Linked DNA regions of Lepisosteus oculatus. The protein of the gene in region 1 interacts with the protein of each later gene in a biochemical or structural test. Links are inferred from orthologs where the notes say so. Each region holds a gene or a part of one and is shown on either strand. Other genes may lie near its edges.

Region 1 (7,036 bases):
ATTATTTTCATGAGCTATTTTCTTAATTATCCACTATGAGGGTAATATACAATGTATGTAAGGGGATTTGTACTAATTAGCATTAATAGTCATTTTGCCCATACAGTTGTTTCATAATCACATAAGATATATTGTGGGCTGTTCCCTTTTTCTATACATCATAAGGTTGGATAAGACTACTTTAGAATTTCTATACCAATTCAATTATTTCTATCAAAAGAGGACTCATACGTATTTTTAGCAAATAAGGAATAATCATACGTTTATGCTTTGATGTAAAATTAGGACTTGGGCTTCCTCCTGGGTGTTGCATTGTCACATTTATTGCCAATTGGAGATAAAAGATGAGACATTACCAAGCTTTTTATATCCTTCCTAAGGACTACTTGGTGTCTGAATGTTGATTTAATAAAGTGTAAGTATACAAAATAAAGAGTATGTGACCAATTCTGTTTTAAACTAATTTTAATGGATTTACATTGGTCAGAATTTCACTAATTTAGGGTGAGCATTCTAATCATTACTCACATGTTATGTCATGTTACCTTTAAATATGCCTGCTATAACAATGTTATTGGGAATATATGAGTTCACGTCATTTTCTTTTTCAAGTCATACAGACAGACAACAGTCCTTGCCTGAGCCTCTCCCAGCTACGCAGGATATTAGACAGGGAGATCAATGCTTTCCACTGTTACTTTATGAATAATTATTAATTCTAGACAAAATACGAAATACAAATCATTTATCAAATTTTGCCTAGACTGGATACCACAGATGTGACAGAAAATAAATGTGTTACTCTGCCTTAAAAGCTTTATAGAAAATCAACTTCTTCTATCTGCTGAGAAGTTTCTAGTTAAAAGACTGTGGTTAAAAGAGTGGTTAATGTTGTTTCTTTTACAATTTGCAAACTCTGAATTTTTTGTTGTATTTTTTAAAGAACCAAACTGGGTATTATTCACACGTGAGCTAAACGACTCTATATAGAATCTTACAAATATTAATAATACCATCTACAACACATTCACATATATTCTTACACTAAATTATACAGTGTATTGGCGTAGTACTTTAAATTAGTGCAGACAGAATTTAGTTAATAATTACCCTAGGAACACAAATATTCACTGTATGAAATATTTTGAACTGGAACCACCTCAAAAATATAAAAAATGACATTTTGTTCTTTGAAAAATAAAAATGGATCATTGATGGTATTAATCTATTAAACATTCTGATACAAATGACGTTTCCTTATAAAACAGATGCAGTTAAGCTTTGAGTAACATACTATGTTACCATTGTCATCAGGTGACAATGACATTAATGATTTGAGTTTAAACAACAGAAGGCAGTCTAAATTATAAAAAAAAAACACAAAAACAACAGCACCCATTCCATAGACAATGTCTATGGCACCCGACTCAGTCCTGCCTGGAGAATCAATTGTGCTGGAAATACTCTGTAAATTGCCTATTCCCTTCCTAACTTCATCCTGTGGTGCCCTTCCTGCACTGAGCAAGATGAAGCTGCTGCAGACATGCAGGCTAGTGTCTGCAGACACAGGCATCAGAGAAACAACCAACTCTGTTATCGGAGCGATAAACACAATCCCTGTCTTCAGAAGACCATGCAGATAAACCAGAGGCATAAAGCCATCTTCAATAAACACAAGACGAAAACAGCTGGCATTCAAACGGGCAAAGTGAAAGCATGCATACAGCTACGCCATCCTATTTCAAACCCCTCATCTACAGAAGTTACTCCATTTCACCTTATGCATCTATGCCGGAGAGACGGGTCTTCCTTCTTTTCAGTGCAAAAGAAGCATATATTGCTTGCTATGTTTAATAGCTCCTTGAAGATGCAAAGGATCCTCAGCTGCATTGCGGCTGTTAAGTAAAAAGAAGGTGTCTTGACTTTAGCACTTGTGAAGTCAAGTGTTGGTGTCTTTGTCTTTGCTCACAAGTAATGTCTGGTATCAGTATTCCAGTCTGCCTCAGCAGAATGCTGCTCTCACTGCAAGGAGAGAGCTGCTGTGAAGCCAGTGCAGGTGCGTGCTAGTGAAAGCCACCACACACCATCCGCAAACTGACAACGGTCGCATGCTGCACGAGACAGCCAATTAGACACAGAAAGTGTCTCGGCCAGCCACTGGGAGACAAAATCTCAGGCAGCTTAGTGGTTGAAAAAATGCCCCCAGAACATTTCTCCAACCCAGCTGTATTCAGACAATTGGGACCAGTCTGATATGTTTCTCACTGTTTGTCCTTGCCTCAGTTCCTCACAATGTATAAAGACATAATTATTTAACATAGCCGTTAAAACACAGTACCTGCCACAATACTACATGTGAACTATTTTGGAAAACATTTTAGCTTTTCTTTTTAAAAGCAAAACAACAGAATATTGAAATATGCTGTGTTTAATCATCATATAATTTGATCAAGGTAATAACATGAAAATAAAATTAACATCTAGAACCTTGGCACACTATAGTTTTACAAAGCAGGGCTTAACAACACTTTTCCTGCAAAGCACCCTAAACATAATGCTTTCCCAGCACCAAATAACACTGCATTACACTGCATAGCTGTGATAGCTGTGGCTGCTGTAGTGTTGATCTTTCCTAAATGCTTCATCTTCTCTAGCACAACTGGTATTAAACTGTGTACCCACCTTAACTCTCACACTGCCACACCGTTCATCTTCAACAAAAAACATTAATCATAAAAAGATTGTTTGTTAATTAACATTTTGCTCTGAATGCCCATTTTGTTTTTGAAATTCTCATTCCTGCCTAACAAACTCATAACTTTCAACCCATTCCAGCAAAAACTGTTTCCACACTCACCCTGCTTGTTTCCAGAGGCTGTAGTTCCGACTCTGAGGAAGAAGTTCGCGTTTATTCAGTGGGGCAATGCCCATAGCTGCTTGCATTATAGTTAGATATTTTTTGTACTTCATTTTGTACACTACAGGACTACACTATGTGCCGTCCAGCAACTATGTAGGTTGCAAGAGGTCCATTTAGTTAAACTGATATTTTTCGGAGCAAAAGAAAACTCTTTGGTTGACAAATCGAGAATTTGCTTTCTGAATCTCATGAGCGTCATTCTTACATAATTCTAAGGATCTTCAAACATTACACTAATGAAAATGCTCCAGGGGGATAATTGTGGTACTAAGCCCTGACAGATAATGTAAATTCCCACATTCCCCATAATCCCCAATAAAACCCAAAAGATAAATCTGAACCATTCCTTGGAACATTAACCCCCCAAAAACTGCTGTTGATTCCCAAAATCACCCCGACACTGCTTTAATTTAGAGGCGGCCATGTCAAAGTCTGTGCGTTTGAAGCCAAAAGGGGGTACCCAGAATTTCTTTTAAAAATAATCTCTTGGAAGAGCAGCAGGGCAGCATATCAGGGGAATGCAGCTTTGGAAAATGAAATTATGTGCCGGCAGCTTGCACGAATGGATTACGTCCTTCTGTGCGGCTTCTATTATAAACCCAGGGATTTTAGTGCCAAAGAACGATAAAATAAACACAATTTAACTAACCATTAAATACACAATAATTAGCACAACAAATAAAACAGTTTTTTGCACAGACTACATGCTTATTCTGTACAGTCTATCATGTCATGGAACACTTTTTGAAAAGTCTAATTTTCAGCTAGCAATAAGATCTGTGCGTCCACCTACCACCAATATAAACAACATCAGACATTGCTGTCAGATAATCCTGATAATATTGAGAAAGCATCAGTCAGGAAAATCACAGTTGAACTCTTTAACTTGGAAACCTTTGGTAATTCTTCTTTCAAAAGTCTGCATCTCCAAGCATTTCTCACACATAACTGAATGGAATTACTGGAACACACCAGCAACAGCAAACTTTACAGTCATAGCTGTTAAAAATACCAGACATACTTCTTTCTGGAGACCAGACAGGAAGAGATAAATATACTGTCACTTATAATGATGACTTCTAAAAGAAAGGATCCATGTCATAATTTCGATAAATGATTTTGAATTACATTTACTATTTACATATATAGATAACATAGGTTCTACTTCAATTATTGCACTCTTTATGGCTGATACAGTTTATTGACATCTGATTAGAAATGTGACATCTGTACCAACTCCAAGATAATGATGTTTTCGCTGCTGTTCTTAAAAACTGGAAGTCCTTTGCTTGAACATTAACACTTTCAACTAAGCCAAACTAACACTTCCTACTTAATATAAAAAGTATGCTAAAGCTTTAAGCCACACTCAAACGTGCTGTAAGACATCGCTTAGAATACTGTATCTGGCATTGGTCATCATGTTACCAAAATCTTGTTGTTGCCTGCAGAGAACAGTGGAAGAAATTCTAGGAATAACCTGCATGTAAGTGGAATGCAGGTGGAGATTCCAAGTTGACTTGCATAGTGCTGACTGTTCAAGCCAACTGGGAGGGCAGAGTCTTAATGTGGGGCGAACCTCTTGAGACTTGGTGCAGATTCAATACAACCTTCTTGCACAGCTGCACACTGACATCCTCCAGCCAACAGGTTTCTGTACCCATAAGATGATCTGAAATGTCTGATTTTCTAATAGGCCTATCAAGGAACGGACTTTGAATATCTGTAGGGCCTGGCTGACCTTGCGAAGACTGGCCACTCCTTCTGTACAGCTGGTGGAGGCTGGCCAATCGACGGCATCAACAGGACACATCCATGAGTGGCAAGTCTTTGCCTGCTCTCTGAGGCTGTGCAGAGTGGTAGATCATTCTACAGCAGACTTTCCAGAGGCCCACCCCACAAAACATCATGAAAGCTACACCCATCCATTCTCTAACCACTTTATCCTATACAGGGTCACGGGGGAGCTCGAGACTATCCCAGCAAGCAGCGGGTGCAAGGCAGGACACACCCTGGATGGGATGCCAGTCCATCACAGGGCATGAATACTACATATAAATGTGAATTATGCATACTGCATACTGAGGTGGAAAACCAGATTGAAGAAGGTCAGAGATCTCCCTTTCAGTTCATGTACACAGAAAGACTTTGCAAAATGATCAAAGTATAAGTATAGTGGATACATATAGATATACTGTAAGTATATAGTAGATAGATTAAAGTATTTTACATATAGTGTAAGAATAAAATCCCTCTAGAAAAACTTCTCTTTAGCATTAAGTATCCTCTTTACTGAGAACTCAATGAGTCCAGCTTAATCTTAATGCTAAATGATAAAATACACAAAGTGACACCAGAATTGGTGGCAGAGAATCTTGATGGATCCAAAGAGCATCATCCTAATAGCTTCCCAGCTTCCCAACATAGCGCAGAGTAAATATCAGCCTTTTTTATCCCCATATAAAAACAAATCAGCTACCGACTCTTCACAGCATAAAGTACGGTCAAAGAATTTACACAATGTGCTCATGTAACATCTAGTACGTAGCACATCCTTTGCATATTTTTATAATTGGAATCTTGGACTATACCCACTGATGTCCTACTAGATATTCCCATCATTGGTATAATGTAATCTATATATGTTCATATTGTAACGCATACGGCCGACATTACAGGTTGTGCGAGCCGACTTGCCAGCGTGGTGATGTCACCGCCCTTCCCTGTGAATATATAAAGATTTTCCTTTAGCTCAGCTGGCTGGTTCCCTGCTGAGTGACGCCAGAGGCCCAGGTTCGAGCCCCAGCAGTAGAAGGCCGACCTGAGACCCACGTGAACCTGGAAGTGCTACAAAATCCTTAAGTTCCACAGTTTGCATTCTTTAACAACTGATTACCTGTTTTTTTTTCCTGAATCACATATAACCTACAGTATTTCCCCTGCTTTTACAGATGCATTTACTTCAAGATCTGATATGTTCAAAGATCATATGGTACTTTTACTGTTGTGCCTTATCACTTGTACATCTAAATATTTTTTTTTTGTTGTAATATGCCAGTCTAAAACATTTGTACTTTAATGTTAACAAGTGTGACTAGATCTTTATATACCACTGTATTTTCACAGATAACCCATTCTCCTTACTACAATAGGAAATCCCACTTCTCATACTGTATAATGACAACAGTATCCATCATTAATGTCCATAAAAAGGAGTTCAGCTGAAGCAGACTGTGTAATTGAAGCCATCGGTCACACAATATAACCACTGACTACAGGGCTATTAAATTTGTAGGTACCAAGGGAATGTTTTGATATCTAGCCTTTTAAAATTTTAATATAAGCAGCATTCTTTTCACTCACATTACTCAGATTTAATATGAAACATGCATTGTAAAATCACAATTACTACTGAAATTGTATATTTTCAGTGAATCTCTAAGTAAAACCAAGTTGATAACCTACATGGCACAAATGTAAAAATGACATCTTTCTCCAAACTTGAATGAACAATTACTATTTATTTGCTGAATTTAACATATTGAAAAAGATAAAAAAGTTAATTTGGCTTGCGCAAATGATTGGACATTTTCCCAGCTGATTAATGACTACTTTTTTAATTTGTGTTTTTCAAAGGTCCCTAAACCTGACTGACTCATTAGGCCTTAAATTAAGTCAGTTGAACAAATACTCTGATTCTTCTAACCTCTCAGGTTGTGATTGTTGTTCTGCCAACTTTCAACAACTATGGGCTCATACAAAATAAAGATAACTGACTCTTTTAAAGCACGTGAAGGCTATAAAAAGGTTGCTAAATGCTTCCAGCTTGCAATTTCAACTGTTAGAAACATTATTAGAAATCATTAAGAAATGGAAGTTAAAGGGAACTGTTGTAGTCAAGGCAAGATCTGGAAGACTCAGAACAATCTGGGTCAGATATGCAAAGCAGAACCCACAGATCAATGCAAAGGACCTGCAGAAACGTTTAGCTGCCACTGGAGCAGTTGTCCATTGGTCCACAGTACAGCGTTGCTTACACAAAAATGATCTGCATGGGAGAGTGTTCAGAAGGAAACCATTCCTATGACTTCATCACAAAAGTCAACGTCTGAAGTA
Region 2 (7,682 bases), about 9.4 Mb from region 1:
TGTCACGATATTAGTTCCCCCTCCTTAAGGGTGCTCCAGCCCTTTCACTAAAGACTCTATTCTATGCACCTGCTCCCTATTCCCAGCCCACCTTAAAAGCCAGGCGCTGACGCTCTTCCGGGCTCTGCATCTGATTTCCATATCGTGCGAGTCCGGGACCTGGAAGCGCCTGGTCCCGTTAAGGTTTTAACCTCCGTTCCCATTCCGGTTCCGACCCGGCCTTCATGGTTTTTAACTTGTTCTGATGGATCTTCTGGTTTTGGACTTTCTCGTGTGTTTTGGATATTCCCTAAGGACTACTCTCTCGGATTGTTCGCCTCGGCCACACTCCCCTGTGCACCAGCGCACCGTGGACACGCCCCCCTGTCTTCTGCCCCGTATTCCTGCATGACGTTTCCCTAGTGTTTCCCCACTCCGTCGGATTGTGTCATCTGCATAGGGTCCGGAAAGAACTGTTCGTTACAGGCGTCCCCAGAACCAGGACTGGAAATCCCTGAATCGAACCAGCCCTGGTGGACCCGAAGAGCTACACAATTACAGAGAACTCAGATCACCCCACCCTTGGTCCTACTGGTGTTGTGTAGTTCAGGGCCTCATGAGCCACAGTCTCCACTGATGTTCACTCTACCAAAGCTCTTAATTAGTTAGTTGAATCAAGCATTGATTTAATATCTACTAAAACAAACGGTTTCCACGTTTCTATTCACTGGTGAGTGTGTGAGCTCCCTCTGAAACACAGAGCTGTGTCTTACAACAAGTGAGGATCGCTGATGTAGCAGAAGACTGGCATTCAACAGACTGCCTACCATTACAGTACTGAGAGCAAATTTCAAAGCATTTGCTTGGCGGTGTTCTTGCTTTGCCCGTGTTGCTGAAAGTCCTTTTTTCGGTTCTGCTTAAATAGATGCTTTCTGTGTTGTTTTTGTGGTAGCCTACTGTTATTGAAACATAATCGCACCTTGGCATTGCAAGAAATGTTCAACAGCAGCCACTCCTGTCTTGTTGTGTTTTGTAAACTAACTTGTAAATAAACTTCTACATTTTGACTACAAACAGTGTGTGGTAGATATAGTAGAATATCGATAAATACTTCTGTAGAGATGTTTTCATACTGGACTTGCCTTATATTTGTTTCACTAAAAACATATTTTTCAGGGGTTTTTGGTTTACTTTACCTAAAGTTCAGCTCAGTCTGATTTTTGAATACCACAGAAAGATTCCCCACAGTCACTTAAGAAATGTTTGCCTTAAACGTGAAGTACTATATAGAAATGATCAGCATAGTCTTTTCCCCACATATATTTAATGCCTCCCTAGCTTTTTGTCAAATAAAGAGTCTTGGCAAAGATTTTAAAGAAATGTGGATTGGTTGCTAAGCAGGAAGTACCTCTTTACACAAAGCTACTCAAATCTACATCCATACCAAACCTGACACTGACCTGGCTGTCTCTTTTCTGTCTAATCGCATCTCCGCCATCAAAAACATGGATGTCTCAAAATGTCCTTCGTCAAACTGTGACAAGACTGATGTCATGCTTATTGGCGCCCCCATCAGCTTTGTAAAGCCAAGGCTGTACTTGAACGTCAGTCTAAATGGAAAAATTTGGGGGTGATATTTGATTCAGGCTAGACATCCGACCCACACGTGCAACATATCAAAAACATTTTCTTTCACCTCAAACATATCGCTAGACTATGTCCTATGTTATTGCTACCTGTGGCTGAAAAGCTGATCAACACATTTGTCTTCTCCCGGATCGACTACTGTAATGCTCTACGCGCTGGGGTTTCTAAATCCACACTGAACAAAAAACTCCAGTGTGTCCAAAGATTTGGCAGCCAGAATCCTGACCAGGTCTAGTGCAAGTGATCCCATTACTCCAATCCTGGAGTTCTTGCACTGGCTTCCTGTCAAGTTTCATGTCGACTTCAAAATCCCCATGCTCACCTATAAGGTGTCAAATCCCACACTTCTCCTCGCAAACGCCATGGCATTCCCAAACCCACTGTTTCACACACTCATTCCCACGGAAACCACCACATTCACACATGCATCCGATTCCACAGACTTTCACTCCTGAACCAATTATCCAACCACATCTCTCTCCCTTCAGTATTCAAGCTTCCCTCAGTTACCAACCCACGCACACGATGGAGAAGCTTCCCTTAGAGTTCTCTACTGATTTTCACAGTTCCTGGACTAAACTCTTCCCTTATCAACTTCACTACTTGGATACTGCTTCTCGGATTTCTTGCCCTCGTTTGGATTACCCTGGTAACCTGACTCATTGCTACTTCTCCCGACCTAGCCTCAGGAATCCATGCCTCGGATTAAGTTCTAGTGCTACTCTGCATTCCGCAGAGTTCACGGCATCGCATGGGATCCTCCTACTCAACCTATCAGTTCCTGACATAAGGCTTGGCATGGCTTGGCACCTCAGTACCTGTGTGAGCTACTATAGCCCTACTCCTCACCTCACAACCTTCGCTCTTCTAATTGTGGTCTCCTACCTGTCCCCCAAGCCCATCTACACTCTGAGTGACAGGGTCTTCTCCTGTTATGCCCCAAAGCTCTGGAACTCTTTCCCCAGGAATATCAGAGAGTCACCTTCTCTAAACTCCTCAAAACCCTTCTTTTTTGGAAGAGCCTTTACTTAACTGGTTCTGTTCTTCACCCCTCTGCTCCTGCTGTACTCAGTACCTCCATCTACTGTCTCCTCTCATTGTGTATTCTCAGTGTGTACTGTATATGTTATATTTTTTCATTTTTGTTTTTATTGTTCTATAAAGTGCTTTGAGAACCCACTTTTAAAGGCGCTATATACAATAAAGCCACATGTCGAAAAGCGAAAATACGAATACGAAAAGCCACATGTCCTTATCTATCTTAAGAATTATTTCTATGTCCTCAGCACCATTTTCTCCACAACACATGTACTGAATCTAGGATTCTGCTATCCATGCTTTGTTTTTACTCAGCTGGCCGCAGAGTGGAATTGGGTCCTATATTTAAATCAATTATGGGTGAGATTCTCTGATGTACAGGTGTGAAAAATTAATAACTGATGGTTTTTTTAAAGCTTTTAGCCAAATATCATTTTTAATAATGCCACTATTTTTTTCTTACAAAATTGCGTAAACAACTTGTCAGTAAATTTATTATCAAAACCCTTCATGAAATTATTTGACTATCTTATTACGATGGATTGCAAACCACACAGACTGGAACAATGGTGTTACTGTACATTTCTACTGCCTTTAAGTTCTCCAGATGCAAATACATGCTGATTTGTTGTCCCATTTAACTGTCACGGTAGTCATGTCCTGTTTTGCAGTTATCAAATGCATTCTTTGCTGTGAAGCTCAGCTAGTCTATGTTGCTTCAGCGGCATATTGTTCGGATGCAGAGCGAGGGAGGAGTTGATACTGTATAGAATAATACCACACAAATACCCCAGGGCAACTTTCCACACTGTCAAGCTGGATCATTGGTAAGTCGTGTTGGTGGACCAGCAGATGTACAATCGTTGTTCATTTGAGACATTAAGACAAGATCCTGACTTTTGGTCCTTAAAGACCCTCTGGTCCTGTTCACAAAAGGGGGGCCTACCACATAAGAGTTCAGTATAAACACCTCTGTTTTGGAATTGGATCAGATCAGTTGGATTTCATTTAATAAATTATTCTGAATTGTAATTCCATGTATTTATGTTAACTGCTTTCTTAGATACAATTACAATCCAAATACATATTTGTAGATGCTGGTGGATGCTGCACATTGGTGGTGGTAGAGGGGAGTCCCCATTACCTGTAAAGCGCTATGTAAGTGAAAACAATTATTATTATTATATCTATTTTATCTACATTTTTGGAACCCTAAAACGTTTTCCGGAAAGAAGAAGTTACGAGAATTAAGAACAGGAAAATGATTTGATATAATTTTTCCACCTGTAAAATCTTGGATTGTTCAAATATCGTCTGCAAGAGATGCTGCTTTACTCTCATAATCTTTGCTGTTTGGACAAGACGGGTGACTTTTTTTTTATCTTAATTGGACCAATACATGAGCAATCCACGCTCTCGATTATAGCACGGTAAAAGACGAGCATTCCCTTCCAACTTCACTCTTAATCTTCGCAAAAATACAAACTCTCAATTTGAGTAGTCCAGCTCAGGTTGCTGTAAGATCACAATCAGAGGTTCCCAGTTTTGCTGGTTAAAACTTTTTCTGCAGTTGTCAGCAAGAGAGTAGTTTCTGTCTCGTGATGTGGCAACGGGAAGAAAGACGTTCATGAAAGTTTACTTCACCACTACAGCAACCAAACGACTGCGCATCGAAGGGAGTGTTTCGAATAAACATTCAGATCAAATGTATTAAAACCTACGTAGTGACGAGCATGTTTCTCATGTATGAAAATATGTTAACAGGAATGTGACAAGTGGACGGCTGCCATCTTGAAAATCTGACACGATTGTTTCTATCGATTTCACATTATAGAGTTAAAATGCCTAGGGCTCCCGGTACCAGTACAGATTACGGTTTCGTTGCTTTTATCGTTTTCTCTATTCTTAACCAGCACAGTTATTCAGCTGTGTAATTGAGGAGTGTTAATTAGAGGTACTGAATCCTGCAATTACAGGTAGTCTAAAAAATATCTCCGACAAAAACACTCCACCTACGCGCACAGAAAGTTAACCTGCCAGTATCTACCAGGGGAACCGGTTGGTGTGCTTTGTTATGAATCCAGGTTTGGTCTACGGCGGGGTGGAAATCAAGCCTGACATCACCAATGAGGAACAAGTAAAGGTTTATTTGATGCTGAACAGAGAACCGTTTCGGGATCACCAATGACGTTGCAGACAGGAGCAGCACCAGTCCTGTGAGTCTCTGAGAGCAAGGTGTGTCCTGCGCCAGTATTGGCATACGGGTTTTAGCAGACACAAGGCAGGTGTGGAAATACTGAAGAGGTTTGGTAAGTTTATTGCTTATATATTGTTACGAGTATACGTACAACACGTATTTTATACTTATATTTTGTCTTGTTTAGTAGGTTAACATCAGAGAAGTACATCTGCGGGTGTTTTGTTTTTGTTGTTTCTATTGCCGGTGGCGTTTTCTCCACGTTGTTGTAATATTTTCTTCATGTTCTTTACCTAGTAAGGTTGATTTTTCAATTGAGATAAGAGAAGAAAAAATGTTCCGTTTTTAAAAAACAGGTCAAAATACTGCAGCGAATTATTATTTTTTTAATTGTAAAGTTGCCTTGCCGTAGACGATTATAATTTAACTCGGTAAAATGGTCGTTTTCCTGTCGGAGGCACCACTGAAAATGCTGGTTGTGTTCTGAGAGAATGTAAACATGATTTTCCTCGTTTCAGAAACGATTTGTTTCAGGTTTATTTCAAACGTACACCTGAAAACGTTGCGCAATGGACGAATTTCTGTTTTAGTTTCTTTGCACAGGTGTTTTGTCTTCAGGTATGATAGAGACTGGGCGGGTTTTAATAAACTAACGTCATCGTATTAATCTTAATAAAACTGCCTACTCTTGTTCTGTTCAAACCTGGTTAATCTGAATGGTGTTTTGTATGGCGAACCGAACATATACAGTATTTTAAAAATGGGTAGGTTTCACAAACTTAATGTCCATACGGGGTTATTCACGTTGCCTCTCCTCATTTTTAATTGAGCTTTTGAACTACATATTAAAGAATAAAACGGCTTCGCATTATAAACTGGAGCAGATATGAAATAACCTGTTTCTGAGGTTTGTTACCTGATTTATTCGGTTTTTGTTCAGTGATTGAAAAATGTCGAAAACTTTATTTAAGCTATTTGTTGACACGAGTTGCCTATAATTACGCCAGAGAAATTTGCCAGTTCTCAATATTATTTGCGAGATCTCATTCCTAAAGAAGAATATTCTAATAAGCTTGTAGTGTCAAAACAACGGATCGAATATGACTAATCGAAATTAAAACTGACGGTAGAAAAACCACATGTTCGAAACTACCAAATTTCCAGTTGGACAACTTAAAGCTTATTTGATATTAATTGCGTTTCTTAGATCTCTCCCAGTTCAAAGTGTACATTTTTAGTAATTGGAGATCCGCATACCCTTTTAACTCCCTTTCATTTAGTGAATTGCGTTACAAACGTTTATTTGTGTTATCTTATGGAGGGCTGTTTTATGTTGAGCAGTAATTCATATTTTTATCGCCTAGAGAGCGTTCTCAGATCCTGATTAGCTTTATGAAGATTTTACTTTTAGTTTTCGGGTTTTGCAACATAACCCAGATACAACCACACCTTTTCATCCTTCGCGCTCGGTATTCACAAAAAACACAGTGTTTAGATATGATGATCATGCGTTAGCTTTTATTAAAAAATATATATATATTTTCCCGTTTCAGATTGTTAAATAATAAATGTTTAGTTTCTGTACACCAATTCAAACACTAAGAAGAGTAAATGTCTGACGCATAATTTCTGGTACAAACCTTAATACGTTACTGTGTGTCTGTTCCTCACAGATGTGTTAAAAATTGTATATTTAATTTTTCTTTCATTATATGAAATATCAAATTCCTACTTCTGTAGAATTATTTTAAAACATAAACACTGTGGAATGTTAAAATGTCCACATTAAGGATTTTGGTTATATGGACAGTGGTAATAGTTTTGTGTTCATGGAAAAGTAGGAGAACATTGTTTAGTCAGTGGAAAAATGCAATATACTGTGGTTTGAAAATTCAAAGACTATATTAATGCAGAAATGTTAAAATATTTTGGAATGTGTTTTTAGAGGTCAGCTGTAAGCTATGTATTACACCTAAAGAAGGCTCCACAGCTGAAACATTGTGTTTTCTTTCTTCTCTTTTCAGCATGGAATAAACCTATTACTTGCAGCTGTGTTTTATTCATATTTATTATTCATGGAATAAACCTATTCCTTTGCAGCTATAGATTACTACTTTTCTGCTGAAATAAAACTTGAGTGCTAGTAAATGACTAATACATACCTTTTTATATATCAGGGAAACTTGGCACATATATGTGTGCTGAATTTCACCTTGGGATTGCACAATCTCTTACATAAATGTATTAATTCAGTAGGTGAAATAATATCTTACTCCTGTGCTTTGTACTGGGTTCGACAGTGTGTCATCCACCCAGATGGGTCCTGTAATTCAGTAATGGATAAAGTGTCCCTACTGTACTGTCTTTAAGTCACTTTTGACTTCACAAATAATAAGGATGAAAAGCACAATACAATGGCAGACAATTCCTATTACTGATGACAGTCACCTCACGGGTAACTCACAAAAGTACCTAGCTAACGTTTATATAGACGTTATCCATTGAAGTGCTAGTGTGTTACTCATAAAGGATTAAGACATGGTTTATAGGAGACTCTTAAAATAAAGTGTTACTTTATTTTTATGTGCTGGCAAAAGCCTGATCATCAGAATTTGCAAAGTATGCAATTGTCTTTTGCGTTCTAAAATATCAATCAATCAATTATTGTTTGTTTTTTTTCAGCCATTAGGGTTTGGAAATTCACCTGTTGGGCTGTCCTTGCTGAGAATTTACTGACACGGCAGCTTTATTTTTCAAACTTGAGAATTTGGGGGGAATTTGCAGGGTAGCTCTGCCCTTCAAATGAGTTTTTGAATTTGTT

The links. The genes of interacting proteins can lie anywhere in the genome.
Region 2: the proteins of tjp2b (region 1) and occludin form a complex in vitro, tested with the Homo sapiens proteins (3 studies listed by BioGRID). The link is inferred for Lepisosteus oculatus from reciprocal best matches to the Homo sapiens genes TJP2 and OCLN.

What each region holds. Positions count from the first base shown.
Region 1 is NC_090698.1:57,834,363-57,841,398, reverse strand, and holds the start of tjp2b (tight junction protein ZO-2b), read right to left. Parts: upstream 3,022-7,036; 5' UTR 2,971-3,021; coding exon 2,858-2,970; intron 2,012-2,857; exon of another isoform or gene 1,891-2,011; coding exon of another isoform or gene 1,778-1,890; intron 1-1,777. UniProt on the Homo sapiens protein: Plays a role in tight junctions and adherens junctions. Acts as a positive regulator of RANKL-induced osteoclast differentiation, potentially via mediating downstream transcriptional activity.
Region 2 is NC_090698.1:67,187,307-67,194,988, forward strand, and holds the start of occludin, read left to right. Parts: upstream 1-4,675; 5' UTR 4,676-4,973; intron 4,974-7,682. UniProt on the Homo sapiens protein: May play a role in the formation and regulation of the tight junction (TJ) paracellular permeability barrier.